Oreochromis niloticus: one gene and its partner. Each later gene encodes a partner of the first gene's protein in a complex. Links are inferred from orthologs where the notes say so. Each region holds a gene or a part of one and is shown on either strand. Other genes may lie near its edges.

Evidence for each region. The genes of interacting proteins can lie anywhere in the genome.
Region 2: mettl14 (region 1) and wtap share a complex: the UniProt entries of both Homo sapiens proteins name them as parts of the WMM complex. The link is inferred for Oreochromis niloticus from reciprocal best matches to the Homo sapiens genes METTL14 and WTAP.

The regions. Positions count from the first base shown.
Region 1 is NC_031971.2:20,855,425-20,862,910, reverse strand, and holds the start of mettl14 (N(6)-adenosine-methyltransferase non-catalytic subunit METTL14), read left to right. Parts: upstream 1-4,485; 5' UTR 4,486-4,667; coding exon 4,668-4,733; intron 4,734-5,134; coding exon 5,135-5,223; intron 5,224-5,552; coding exon 5,553-5,640; intron 5,641-7,314; coding exon 7,315-7,392; intron 7,393-7,486. Other genes in the region: prss12 (neurotrypsin), read right to left, coding at 1,638-1,776, 2,841-3,174. UniProt on the Homo sapiens protein: The METTL3-METTL14 heterodimer forms a N6-methyltransferase complex that methylates adenosine residues at the N(6) position of some mRNAs and regulates the circadian clock, differentiation of embryonic stem cells and cortical neurogenesis.
Region 2 is NC_031980.2:12,347,387-12,354,679, forward strand, and holds the start of wtap (pre-mRNA-splicing regulator WTAP), read left to right. Parts: upstream 1-4,197; 5' UTR 4,198-4,402; intron 4,403-4,976; 5' UTR 4,977-4,984; coding exon 4,985-5,014; intron 5,015-5,141; coding exon 5,142-5,197; intron 5,198-5,295; coding exon 5,296-5,354; intron 5,355-5,507; coding exon 5,508-5,635; intron 5,636-6,652; coding exon 6,653-6,831; intron 6,832-7,293. Other genes in the region: sod2 (superoxide dismutase [Mn], mitochondrial), read right to left, coding at 878-1,023, 1,137-1,316, 1,766-1,882, 2,087-2,292, 2,911-2,939. UniProt on the Homo sapiens protein: Associated component of the WMM complex, a complex that mediates N6-methyladenosine (m6A) methylation of RNAs, a modification that plays a role in the efficiency of mRNA splicing and RNA processing.

The sequences.
Region 1 (7,486 bases):
TATTTTGAAGTAAAGGCTTTAAAACCAAGTTAGTACAAACATCACTAATGTCACTTAACTTTGCTGACATGTGGCCAACAGTAATGTTTTAATGTTCTTCATTATAAAAACATTTGCGCATAAATAAGTGACATAATATTCAGTACTTACTTCTGAAAGTTTACTCTTTGGCGGCTCCGCTTCCGCCGTTTTTTTCGGCAAAATTATCCACACCACGGCCGCGCTATGAAATCTGGGATATGTTGGGCCATGACGGCTACACCGACCCATCCTTAAAATTCAGGGAAATTAAGGACGCATTTGAGGGCCGCATTTCGAGCAGCCTTTGAATTGGGACAGCCTTCGTCGTTTCGCTGTGACATAATCGTCCTTAAAATGTCGCCTTTAAGGCTGCAGACCCTGAATTGGGATAGAGCCCAAATCCGGTCATTGGTACTTCCTGGCTTGTGTAGTTACTAGGTAACGAAAGCTCAACACTGCCCCTAGCGTCCTGGAGCACTTCCGTTGTGTTTTGGAATTTGCAAGTGTTTTGGAGTTTGCATGTGTTTTGGAGTTTGCAAGTGTTTTGAATTTTGCAAGTGTTTTGGATTTTGCAAGTGTTTTGGAGTTTGCATATGTTTTGGAGTTTGCAAGTGTTTTGGATTTTGCAAGTGTTTTGGAGTTTGCAAGTGTTTTGGATTTTGCAAGTGTTTTGGAGTTTGCATGTGTTTTGGAGTTTGCAAGTGTTTTGAAGTTTGCAAGTGTTTTGGATTTTGCAAGTGTTTTGGATTTTGCAAGTGTTTTGGAGTTTGCATGTGTTTTGGAGTTTGCATGTGCTTTGGAGTTTGTACGTGCTTTGTCTCTAGGGGCCACCGTACCATCATGCCACCCGACACTGATCCAAATCTCATTTAAGAACAAGAGTTATGAATTACAAGCAGGCAGCTTTATTAACCTGCTAGCAGTAAGCTTGAGCTGTCTGCACATGCATAATCTGTTGTTCTGGGCCAATGCCATCAGTAGTTCTTATACCCAACAGCTTTCAATAATTAAGCATCTGAAAGTCATCACCAAGCACTCCAAATGACATATGCCTGGCATTTGCCCTTTTTCCTTTCTGCTGTAGACTTTCATTGACTCCCGTGTGAATACAAACACACACGCAGGCAAGTGTTCGTATGTGCCATGTGCCAGCGCTGGTGTTAGTGACAACATGTGCAATAAGTCAAAGAGTTTCTCTGTTCTCCAGGGAGAGCAGGACACTTTCTCACCTGACTATGGACACTGCTGTTATATACAATCTGACTATAGGCTCCCTTGAGAAGCATGACTAACATCTCATAATCAAGTCCACGACACACAGCTAGAGGCAAAACAGAAACAGAGAGCGTAGGAGTGTGCGGGAAACAACGTAAATGGCACGACACTCAAGGTATTTAAGTGCCTCTGGGGAATAGAGGGCTGGAATGTAAAGAAGAGTAGGAGCAGAAAAGAGGAGCGTGCTTGAATGAAGCTCTGTTAGACCACTGTAAGCAGTTATGAATTTAACGGCAAATGGTGACAGAACCTGCACCTGTGTCTGACGACGTTTGTGAGAGGGAGGGATAAAATAAATACCGCACATTTAAGCACATGTGTACACGTTTGTGCTCTCTCACCCCTTGCCCAGCAGTCTGCAGACCACTGTAGCATCTTCCTCTCCCCAGTCGTTGCTACAAATAGACCCCCACGTTCCCCCAAGGTACACTTCGACCCGGCCGTCTAGCTTGGAGCGGCCACCTTGCAGACGGACGGAGCCTGAGATGGAAAGACGGTTGGAGAAAAGTAGATGTAAAACTATATGTGATGTGCAAAAGAAGCTTTTTGGGGAACATTGAACTTAAAGTCTGTGTGTGTGTGTGTGTGTGTGTGTGTGTGTGTGTGTGTGGTGGTGCTGGTGGGGGGGTATCTGATAAATCATCAGATATACTAACAGGTGTTTTTGTGTATTTTACCACATCAGATGCAAAAAATAAGACTAATGTAAAAAAGTGAAATATTACAGAATGCAAAAGATGTGTCTGTGACTGTTTTTAAATGTGACACCTTTTTATATTTTCTACCTGCACAGCCTTTTCCTTCAAAAATGGAGAGACATGTTCCTCCTGTACTGCCCCACAATGCAAATCATGATCTAAATATTTATAACCCATAAGATGAATAAGATTAATATAAAATGAAAAAGCTGCATTTTTCTGATTTATTTGATTTATTATTTGCAGTTATAGTCACTCGGTGTGTGAGCATGCATCAGGGTAACCTGGTTGCTTTACATTGTAAAGTAAGAAGCTTACAGCGAATGCCTCAGTCCAAGTCCATGCTAACACACACATACACACACACACCTGGCGTCCTGTGGCTCTCTTCCTTGTGCAATAGTAAACACACTGAATCTGGAGACCTCACTTACAGCCATGTAATTGTTAAAACGTTCAGTAACAGACACCAAAACTGTGATATAATACAGCTGCATATGGTTAAAAAAAACAGAAGAAGCTGAAAACACAAATGTTTTCACATGAATAATCACATTCACACTCTGGTAAACCAAAGGTATGATCACCTTTAATTATTCCATGGGTGGATGCTCTGTGACTCAGCTGCACAGCACTGTAAAAACACATCTATCTACAGCTGCTCAGCCTATACAAAAATGTACATTCCATTCATATTGGCCTTGCTGTAGCATGTCTTGAATCCTGCTCGTCTGGGGATTTCACCTTCTTCTAGGTTTAATATTTGTAGCCACGTTCAACAATTTCGAGGCTGTTAATTCCTATAAAACACAATAAAGCTGCTGCTCTGTAGGCCTGCGTGTTTACCTTGTTTACAGTCGCAGTACCCCCAGTCTACTCTGCCTCTGTGGTTCCTAAAAAAGCACCAGGGTCGGATTCGGCCGTCCGGGTTGCGACAGTGGTTGTGCTCGCCTATGCCTTTGCCCGGGTAGCGCTCCTCGAAGCCGGCCACTTCGGTCCAGTTCATGCACCGGGTACCGGACTCGGTGACGTCTATCGCTCCCCGGTAGAAGCCGTCTTTTCCACGGCTTCGGGCGCAGTCGGTGAACGGAAGGATGAATGAAGGGACGCTGCTGGCATAAAAGCAGCAGCTGATCGCAGCCAAAAGAACGGCTTTTAAAACAACAAATGGCACACTCATGTTAGGGCTATGACGGATCCTATCATCAGCTGAGGGTTTCCACGCATCCAGTCAGCCTCTCGCCCAGCCGTGGGACGAAAGTGAGAACGACGCGGATCGATGAAACCCCCTTTTCTTTTTTGCATAGGCAAGGCAGTCCTCCAACGAAAATTCAATAACATAGACTACATGATTGCTTCGACCAAACTGCAGTGTACCTATATTTAATAGGAATGGGTTTTTTTTAGATATTTTTTTTTCGCATTGTTTTATATATTTCAGTACCCTTTACTACTCATTAACCACTCGACCAAGTAGTTTAGAAATATTCTATAAAATCAAATCTAAAACCCCTCCTGACGGACAGCATTCAAATCCTCTCAAATATTAGGGCATTTGCTCTAATAACGTAAAACATGAAAATACGTGGTATTTAAATTTTAAAATGCTTCTACTTAAAAAAAATATATATATATATATATATATATATATATATATATATATATATATTTAATATTTATTAGACGGTGGTGTTCCTATTATTGCTCAAATTATACGTATTCAGTCGTTTGGAGCCGATTTGTAGGGAGTTCATTTGAGATGCGTTCTTGCAGGTGAGTTATCTGAAGCACTTGCTTTTATCATTTTGCACAATTTTCTCCTGCGCAATCTTCTCTCAAAAATGCGTACGCTTTTTCATTGCGTGTCTTTCACAACTTGAATCTTTTGTGACGGATCGTGTCTGCAGGAGTTTAACAACGTGATGTGCTTGAAAGATAACAAATGTTAAGAATGACTTCTCAGTGAACCAGTGCGTGAAAACTCAACACCAATAAAGTCAGCGACGAAATCAACGCAGTGAGGTGTGCTGGGATTGATTGTTGACATGCTAGACCGGCCTTCCTGTCAGTGGTGGATACGCCTTGAGGTAACGTGAGCGCTCTCTGCTGTGATTGGTGTTTAAATTATTAGTCGGGAGCCCTCGTGGGATCTGTCCGCTGCTGCTTGAAGAGCGAGGAGAACTAACCGTCTCTGATTGGAAGACGACTTGCGAAACGTCAGAGATACACGCCGAAAATTGTGACATCATCGCACCGCGTCCGTTCAATCACAAAGGGGTTCACTCTTTAATTAATACCGGCGTACACCGCCAATCGCTGAGACAGGCGGTAAATCACTCTTTTCTTAAGACCCAATCATTGTTCATACTATGATGGTTTAACCAATACAGTTAGGCATAACTGTATAGGAGCCAAATACACATGTGCCTTTGACTCTCATTTTGAACAAACTCCACCTGCTGATGGGCAATAAAGTGGCACGCATAGTGCCTGTGCGTACTGGTGTCGAAACCGATTGCACCTATCGACTTTTCCATTTTTTAGCGGTTATCCCCCATTAGCCGGTTGCTAGCTGTTGTTACAGATAGCAATAAGTGTTATATGAACATATTTTATTTACACCAGCCGCCAAGGGGGTTTAATACTGTGTCAGAACCCGGTACATAAGACGCAATGAACAGCCGTCTTCAAGAGATACGCGAGAGACAAAAACTTAGGCGGCAGCTGTTAGCTCAACAGGCAAGTACACAACGAGCCCTCCAGCTGCCTGTCAACTTACCTACATACCTAACGGATTTGTGTTAATAACGTGGAGCTAAGCGTGTTATGTGCAAAATGGATTTTCAGATAGTTTTCCGCCCAATACACCGATGTATGGGTGCCGATAACAAGCCTACCCCTTTAAAACATTCAGAGTGGTCGCCCTTGAGAGGAGCAGACTCGGTGTACGTCTAAATAAAAGATTTGAGCGCATTGAGGAGCCATTACAATTATCCGTAACGCTATGGAGTCACGTACCAGCAGTACAAAATACCAAGGGGTGTTTTATTAAGCACATGTTTCGTCATAGTTGGCACTGTATTGTTAACAGAACACAGGCAGGAGGGACTTTATATTTACTTGCTCTATCGTTACCACAGCTGGGAGCTGAAAGCGCAGACAGCATCGGAGCAGTCCTACACAGTAAAGACGAACTAAAAGAGATCGAGGAGACTAGAGAAACATGCAGGTAAGCTATAGTGTTGGTACTGTTCATGGTGGCTGTGGCTCAGGCGGTAGAGAGGACCATCCACCAATCACAAAGTCTGTGAATCATTCCTCATCGCCACATGTTGAAGCATCATTAAGCAACATACCCCCCAAGTTCCCCTGAACCGTTAAGAGTCCCAGTCCGTTTACTAAACTGCAGAAATCCTCAGAAGCATTTTTCTCTTTGGGTTTACTGCATGCACAGTCTTTTTGTCATCTTATGAGCTCCGTGATGTCATTTTTTTCAGTACCAAATGCTTGCTTTGGGACTAAGGAAATGTTGAAATATAGAGGTGTATTCGTTTTCAGGGCTTCATATGACAGCACAGCCCCATCTTCTAAAAGGAAAGCACAGACAGAAGGAGAGGACACAGAGGAGGATGTGGAAGAGCAAAAGGTGAGTGTAACCACATAAATGTTGAGTTTATGAGATTTGGCACTATATAAATAAAACTGAATTAAAAAGCCTGGATGTGTCAGGAGGAGTTAAGTATTGTGACATTGTGCCATAGACAGCAATAACATATGCTTAAAGTGGTGGAGCTTATGGCAAAGCTATGTTCAAAAGTGTCTTTATCTGACAGTACAGTTAAAATGGTCACTGACATCAGTAGTGACGACATAAAGGCTCTTATTCTACAAGCATCAATACAGGAGTGCCTTGAAATTTGGCGTGACTTGTACACAAAGGCTTGTAAAGGTCTGGATTAGAGGACAAAACTAATCTGCTAATCTCTTGTCTGGTAAATGCTGTCTTTGAGCCAGAGTTTGACTTTGCTCTTTTGCATGACTATAATGACGTAAATACAAATGACTTATGAAAAAGGTGGAAGTATTAGATCATTTTTCCATTTAATACTTTAAAGTATTTTTAACACTACAACCCATTAAAGGTTTTAACAGATTATATCTTAAGGTAATGAATTGTATGGTGAAGTATAGATTTACAATCGTAATTTCAAATAAGTTGGCATGCTGTGTGTGGTAATAAATTGAATGAATAGAACAGAATAAAGTACAGAAAACATGTAAAATATTGAAACATTTTGCTATTTTATTAAAACTAAATGGTTAGCCCAGAGATGGATTGGCAAAATATGATAGCTGGGATAGGCTCCAGCCCCCTGTGACCTGCAACCCTAATAAGGATTATGGAAGGGAATGCATGGATGGATGCATTTAAAAAAAAATGGCCTTATGGAATTTATTGGCAGCAACACATTTCAAATCTCACTGTTGGATGCTGGTGATGTTACATGGTGCTAGACTGCATGGGCTCCAAACACTTCCAGTCTGTGAACAGAGCTTACCTTGGACTGTAGAGCAGTTGAGACGTGTTCTCTGGATTGACAAATCATGTTTTTCCATCCGGCACTCCCCTGGATGGGTCTGAGTTTGGAAGTTATGTAGAGTCCAGGTGCTGAACTGGTCTGCTTGCAGTCCAGACCTTTAACCAATTTAAAATATCTCGAACATCATAAAATGAGACGTGCAACAAGGAAGACCCAGGAGTGCTGAGCTGCTAAAAGGCTATATCAGATAAGCCTAGCAGCTGGTCTCCCAGACATTTACAGACTCTTGTTAAAAGAAGACGGGGTTCTACACAGTCCGTAAACATGGCCCTGTTCCAGCGTTTTGGGGAAGTGTTATTGCCATCAAATTCATGATGACCTATTGTTTTTCTTAAAATGGTACATTGTCTCAGTTTCTGCAGTGAATAAAACATGGGTTATGAGATCCGCAAATCATTGTATTCTGGTTTTATTTACATTTCCCACAATGTCTCAACTTTTTTGGAATTAGTGTTGTATTTTAATATAGTGCAAAATGCATTGATTCAGATGTGTTAGAACAAATGTATGGAAATGTGGACAGATTTAATAGGCTGACAATGTCCCATCTCCCTCTTTGATTTCCATCTAACTGATTTAATGTTTTTTGTACATTTGTGTCTTTGTCTTACTCTCCATATTAAACAGTGGTGGAGTTTATTATAGTTAGCAATTCTCTTGTTTTATTATGCAATTACATTCGGCTGTATTCGTTTGCTAACCACATGTTTGTGTTTTAGGATGAGTTGGAAGTGCAGCAACCAGATGAAACCAACCCATACGAAGAGGTGTACAAGGACTCAAGTACTTTTCTTAAGGTTGGGAAACTCTTTCTTTGCATTCACAGTCTCATTTATGTGGACTTGCATAACCTGTTTCCACACAAAGTATCCAGCAACTTTAAGACAAAAA
Region 2 (7,293 bases), on another chromosome or scaffold:
AACCTAAGATTTTTCAGCTTGACAGAATCGTGAGGTTTATGTGACCTTTGTTAAGAAATCAAGGTACTTAATGCCTGGATTTAAATCTTGATTGGACTGAACTCATCTTGGGTGAAACTTTAAAGTATTAGACAGGAGAGGAGAAAAAAAATAAAACCTACACACAATACAATGTTGACATCCATCTTTTAACACCAACTGAGCTAAAACGCATTTGAAAACATGAGCCTCAGTGACCAGTATTCAACACTGCCCTATAATGGGGCCATGAGGATTTAAACTAAATAAAGTATAGAACTGCATTTTTAACTCCAGCTTCTCTTATAGCTTAGAGGGGGGGGGAGAAAAAAAAAAGAAAAAAAAAAAGTGAAATTTTAGAATCTTACAGGTAATGAAAAAAGGAAAGAAAGAAGAAGAATCAAGCTTTTACAACTGTTTTATTACAATTTCTGATTTTTATTATCATACAGCAAATACAAGGACTGCAATAACATTGTCTGATTTTAGTGTGGCTTAACCTGACTGAGACAGCTATCTGAATATGCACTCGTGTTATCTTACACCTGGTATGCCACTCATAAGATGTGAGAATGGCAAAAGCCAGCTTTGATGTTAAAGTTGTCCATTATTGTGCGCTTTCAAAATTACTAGCGGTTGAGAACAGACCAGAGATAAACAGTACTTGCCCGCTAGCTTCAGCTTTTTCACGTACAATATATGTACCAAAAAAAACAAAACCCAAAATTATTTTAAAGACAGTTTAAATGCCAGTTACGTCTGAAGGTTTGAACTGTCATAAGTCTGATTTTTTAAATTCTGATTCAATGCAGGCAACTACTGTTTGATCCAAGTCTTAGTGGTTGCTGTGCATCAGCTTCTACTTTTTGGCCATCTGAAGACGCTCACTCACGTTCTCCCAGTTGACTACATTCCAGATAGCCTTCACATAGTCAGGTCGCACATTCTTGTATTGAAGGTAGTAAGCATGCTCCCATACATCAATACCAAGGAGGGGAGTGAGACCTAAGTGCCAAAAAAATACATACAAAAAGGCCATGTGGCAGTTAGATGGCCAAGTCGCATTTATTCAATTTAGTTTTATTTATATGCACCAAATCACAAAAAGTCCAACTGACCTGTTGTCCCCTGCAAAGGATCCTGGTTAGCACAAGCAGCAATGCGAAGTCTTCCACTGTCCTTGTCAAAGCCAAGCCACCCCCAGCCTGAGCCCTGTACAGCCACCGTAACAGCAGACATCTTCTCTTTCATCTTCTGAAAGGAGCCAAAGTCCCGTTTGATTGCCTCCATTAGCTCTCCTACAAAGTTGTCAAACAGATGTGTATGCTTCAGTGAAATGGCACAACACATAAATTTCTTGGTTGGAGTGTTTTCAGTGAAAGAAATGTTGCACTTATCCAAGTGATGATACAATTCGGTGACTGCAACCATTCCCCCAACTCTGAATAGTACTCATGGCCACTGATCAAATTTCATGACAATTTCCATATTAACAAAACTGAGCTTTAAGCCAGTTATTAGGAAATGGTGCAATTTTCAGTCATTATGTAACACTAAAAAAACTCTGCAACCATATGAATCAACTTTTCAGCAAGTCATAAAATTAAGTTGCACATTCAATAAGAGTCAGCATGTCTCAGAGAAAAACCAAGTGATCTGATTAAAGACAAACAAGTTGATTGGCCATGAGTTGTCTTAGTCTGGTCATATACCGTTTTTTGTATTTTTGTGGATTTCTCTGTCTTACCTTGTGGTTCACCTCCACCATTTGGAGAGAGATTTGTCCAGAAGATGGTGTGGTTAATGTGGCCGCCTCCATTAAACTTGAGGGCAGGCTGGAGAGCAACCTGTGTTGTCACGTCTCCTAAAAATGTAAGTCAAATATACACAACATACAGCTTCTGTCAAACTCTTACACATTTATGTTTGGGGGAAAAATCTTTAAGGAAAAAAACTGTAACGTACATATCAGAATCTTAATTACAACTTCATATAGACAACTACTTTTAAAGTCTTCATTTTCAATTAGAGTCATGTGAAGTGAAATATCATGCGACTCTGCCCATACCCTTTGCAAGAGCCTCCTGATACTTCTCTTCTGTAACATTTAGGTTGTTGACATATGTAGCATGGTGCTTGCTGTGATGCAGCTGCATGATCTCTGCACTGACGTAGGGCTCCAGGGCACCATAGTCGTATGTCAGGTCAGGGAGAGTATGCTTCTGCCTCGATGCAGCTACCTTGCTAATAGTGTGGCTGAGGCTGGCTGCACACCTGAAAAGAAATAATGAAGTAATACAGCATGAAATAAGGCATGACATCATGAAAATGTCATGACATCAGCAAGAAAACTGTAATTCAGTTATTTAGGGATACAGAAATTGAGATGTACCAAACAGAACTACTTTTAAACTATAGTTTTCTTATCAAAGAGTAATTTGCTAAGGAGCTATTGACAGGGCTGTGCAACTAAGCCGTACCAAATTACTTCCCTGCAGGGTATCAGAGGTAGGATTTTTAGCTTACTTAAGCAACTGACCTAAATGTCTGTTGTTGATACTGGATTTATGCAGCTCTTGAAGCACAGTCATCTACATATTAGTTCACTGAACACATGATACTGGCTCAATATTAAGACATTCGGTTCATAACTTCATGCACGAGCTCATAACAGGATGATTACGCGTTTAATAAACAAAACCCTGTATTTAGTGCGCCATAAGCTAACCTAGCTGAGCTGCCAGTTAGCATTTCGGTTAGCTAACTGCTAGCTATCAATAAGCAACTGTCACGTTCAAGAACAACTGCTGCTAGCAGAAGTCAAGAGCCCCGATTCCGTATGCACTCTGAGCACAGTACACGCACCAAATACTCAAGTGACAACAATCTTACCTGCGTATTTGTCCAGCTCTGCAAAGCATGTTCCTAATGCTGTTCAATGGACAGAATGAAGGAATACACACGCTGATAACAACTGCCCTTGAAATGTGCAATTTCAAGTTGACAGAGGAGGCGACCGTACCATTACATCTATGCTGTGGGGGTGTCCGGGAATTGGATAAACACAGGAGTCAAGCGGCTACATGTGACAACGACACACATTATTAGAGACACTTGGCAGATGAGAGAGACTGTATTAAAAACGCATCCCGATACTCTGGAATAATAATAAACAAAGCTCCTTACCTTCTGTATTATTTTGCAACTCCTCCCTCTAGTAGGTTTTCCGTAGCTTTAAAAAAGTGCATTATATCACTGTTATGAAAAAAAAAAAAAAAAATTCTTCTCGTATATTTCATTTATTGTAAATCTATTCACTCTGTTTATTTATTGCAAAACAAAGCATATATTTAAAGGAGTAGTTCTTAATACATAATTAATACAAGCATAATTAAAAAAATAAAAAAACTAACAGCAGAGAGTCACGTGAACGTTCTCCCCACAACAGTGGAGGCAATGGCGGAGATCGTCTATATTAAAATAATGGCGCACTAAGAAGCAAACAACGCTTGCTTAAAAGGGAAAACCCTCAGGTTTGAATTCAGAACACGGTGTCACTTCTGGTGGACACTAAACTGAGAACAATTCTAGCATGCACCAGAAGTGTCAACTTCATGGAACAACAGGAAGTTATTTCTGCAACAGAAATAAAAAAGAAAATATGGCTTATTATTTCACAATTTCGAGTTATTTTTTAGTCTTTTTGAAGTCTACATTTCAAGATCCTAAAAAGAAACACTTCTTTCTTCAACAGCAGAAACAAGTTTCGGTACAACTCACAGTCGATGATGCACCAAAGGCTAATGTCAAGGCACACTAAGGATTTCTCTACTCTAGATTTCTTTTATGAATTAATTCAAATAATTATGTTTATGAACACTCATAATAATTAAAAAAGTATTTCTTCAAACTACTCCTACCAATAGTACAAAAGGGGGAGCTTTGTGCTGTGTATATATTTAAATACATTTGTTAACATAAATACATTAGTTAATAATTAAAAACATCCATTCATACAAACTAAGGCTAAAAATAATACAATAAAAATAGCAATGCGGGGATGAATTCATCAAAATCACATAAAAAATATCTACTGTTTACTGTTATTTGAGGGGTACATTTTATGATCTTAAAATCGCTGCGGAGTGAGAGGTCTCGCTCTTTGCCTCTATCTGTGCTAGAACTCTGCAGTAAGGCAAGTGCAGCGCAGCGCCCAGCTACAGCCATTCTGTTTAGTCGACCGCGAGGAAGATGCTGTTGACCACGCCGAAGCGAGACGACTACAAATAACTTCCCCATAATTTTTAACCAAGTCGCAGGTTCTCGTTTCACAAAGAACCCCTGACACCAAGAGGATCCAGAAACATCGAAAGAAACTGATCTGGTAAGTGATTTTTCTTTGATGGCTGAAGGCCCGATATCTGCCACCCAGAGCCCGCTAGTTTCAGGAAAAGGAGTGCTAGGGAGGGAGTCATTTCCTTCACCGCCATTTTGTGATAACAAGGAGCGGAAAACAGATCCAAGACTTGTATGCTGCCAGGCTGGACATAGGGAAATAGTGAAGCTCGGTACTGCTGTTTCGTTACGTGTAGTTAGTTTGCTAACGGAAACAGCTAAACCTTATTAGCAGCCCAGTGTTAACCTTGGTTAGCATATTTTCCATTTCTCGCGGTCCGTTGCTGCTGCTGCTTGTCACACGAGCTAACACAAGGCTCGGCTGCTCTTATAAACTGCTAATATTAACTTTGATTTGGTTTTGCGGGATAGTTAATGTGTTCCTCACACACCATCAGGGTCATCTATTAGCTGAAAGGCACAGCTTTTGTACCGAGTTATCAGAGTTGCTGTACATTGTACTGCGTGTTGATAGCCATCGCGTTAAAACATGATGCAGTCCTTTAAGCACACAACCCCAAGCTGTAATTACTGCTGATTTCCTGTCGTGTTTTTACTTACAGGGTTCACAATGACCAACGAGGAGCCTCTACCCAAGAAAGTGAGTTTCTTTTCTTATTCTAATGTACCCCTTGTAATTTGTTATGTGTCACGACCCTGCCCACCACCCTCCAAATATTCTAATGGGTTTCTTTATGTAACCAGTGCTTGGGTTTTCGTTCACACAGGTTCGCCTTAGTGAATCGGACATGAAGACTCTGACCAGAGAAGAGTTGTGTGCAAGGTAGGTAACAGCTCTGCTGTTGGTGATTATTTTGTGGTAGGGGGAATTTGGTGTTTGTGTTTTGGATGAGCAGCTAAAACATGTTCTGCCCATCACAGGTGGAAACAGCATGAAGCCTATGTCCAGGTCTTGGAGGCGAAATATGCGGAGCTATGTTGTAAGTACACCTGCTATAAGACACGGTTATGATTTAACCTTGTCAGCATCTCAACAATCACCATGTTTTTGCCCGGTGCTGCTGTCTGTGGCAGTCAGTGAAAGGAATTTTTCTGATATGTTTTGCATTTCTGCACCGCTTTTATCGCCTCAGCCAATGACGTTCCAGGGCTGAAGGAGTCGGAGGAAAAGCTCAAGCAGCAGCAGCAGGAATCCGCGCGGAGGGAAAACATCTTGGTCATGCGACTTGCCACCAAGGAGCAGGAAATGCAAGAGTGCACAGTATGTATTTATTCCTCTAATTATGCTTGACATTCAGTTTCCATTAGTACTACAGTTTGAGTACTTGATATAGTTCTTATAGGAATATAGCCCTTCTAACATAATGTTTAAATGAGCTTTCTTTCATTAAGATTTCACCAAAAAGAACATCAGTAACTTTGTGAATGAGTAATGATGTTACAGGTTGCTATTAAACATGTCAAAACTGGGTAATTATTATGCTAAATTCTAAATTTAATAATACAAGTTTTCAAAGTGCAAAATAATTTAACTTTATTACTAAATTTAAATGAATTGAATAATTTGCAACACTCCAGCAGAGAGCTTTCCTTAGTAAACTGTCATGATCATGGAAAAGAGGCTAAAAGTAAATTATTTCAAGCCAAGGCATCCTTTGCTCTTGCCAGATTGACAGCTCAGTGGATCAAACAGCTGCTTTATGGTAGCACATGCCATTCTTAAAGTGCAGCTGAGGTGAGCTCAACGCACAGGCTTTAAACTTGGAAACCCTGCAGTCACATTGAAATGGAAAGCATGGGGACACAGTTTTCAACAGAAATACCAGAATTTTAAGCTAAATGTGTTTGAGACACACACACACACACACACACAAAAAAACAACAACAAAAATGGTTGATGTCATCATAACTTTGGCAGGTGAGTTTCATTTGTTTTGGACCAGTCTGATCTCCCCGGGCCTGGAAAGGCAACTGTCAAATGATTGGAAGTAATTGTCACTTAGAGATTTTGTCTTGAAAACTTTGTAGATGGTAGGTACCAAGTGTTGCTCTAAGGTAACATGCTTAAATTGTTTGAGTCCACATCTTTAGATAACTTTAGCAGAAAAGTTGCCATCAGAAGATGGCGATTTCCAATTTTACACATTTTGTTTATTTTTTAAGAGGAAAAACACGGCTACTGGAGATCAGAGCCAAACCCAAGAATTTTCTCTTGAACCATGATAAAACACTTGTTTATTTGTTCCTGCCAGTCACATGTGTTTGTTGTATCCTGCAGACGCAGATCCAGTACCTCAAGCAAGTCCAGCAGCCGAGCGTGGCCCAACTGCGGTCGTCCATGGTGGACCCATCCATCAACTTGTTTTTCCTCAAAATGAAGGCTGAACTGGAACAGACTAAAGACAAACTGGAGCAGGCCCAAAATGAACTGAGTGCCTGGAAATTTACACCTGATAGGTAAAGACAATCAAAATAATCCCCCTCAAAAAAACAAAACAAAACAGAAAAGTCAAGACTTCCTCACGCCCCCCACCCTCACTCTCACTGCAGACATGCAGGAACAATGGTGGGGGGGAAGGCTGACAAAGTGCTGTACTCACCACGAGATTCAGACTTTACAGAAAGCCAGTCACTCCAAAAAAAAAAACAAACCCCAAACTGTTTTTGTACTCTTGCACTGTGCCAGCTACATATCACATAACCTAAAGAGAAAAGACAGTATGGTCAGGTGACACTTGTGTTTCAGCTCTCTCCCCTCGAGTTCCCCTCACCGTCCAAGGGCCTGAAGGAGTCCGGACTGTTCCTGAAGAGGTGGTCACTCGCTTCCCGACGTGGATATGGCCTCCCTGCCCCCGCCGCTCAAACCAGACAGTTCACTTATTAAATAGGGGGGTTATGGTGGAGGTAATATGGAGGTTG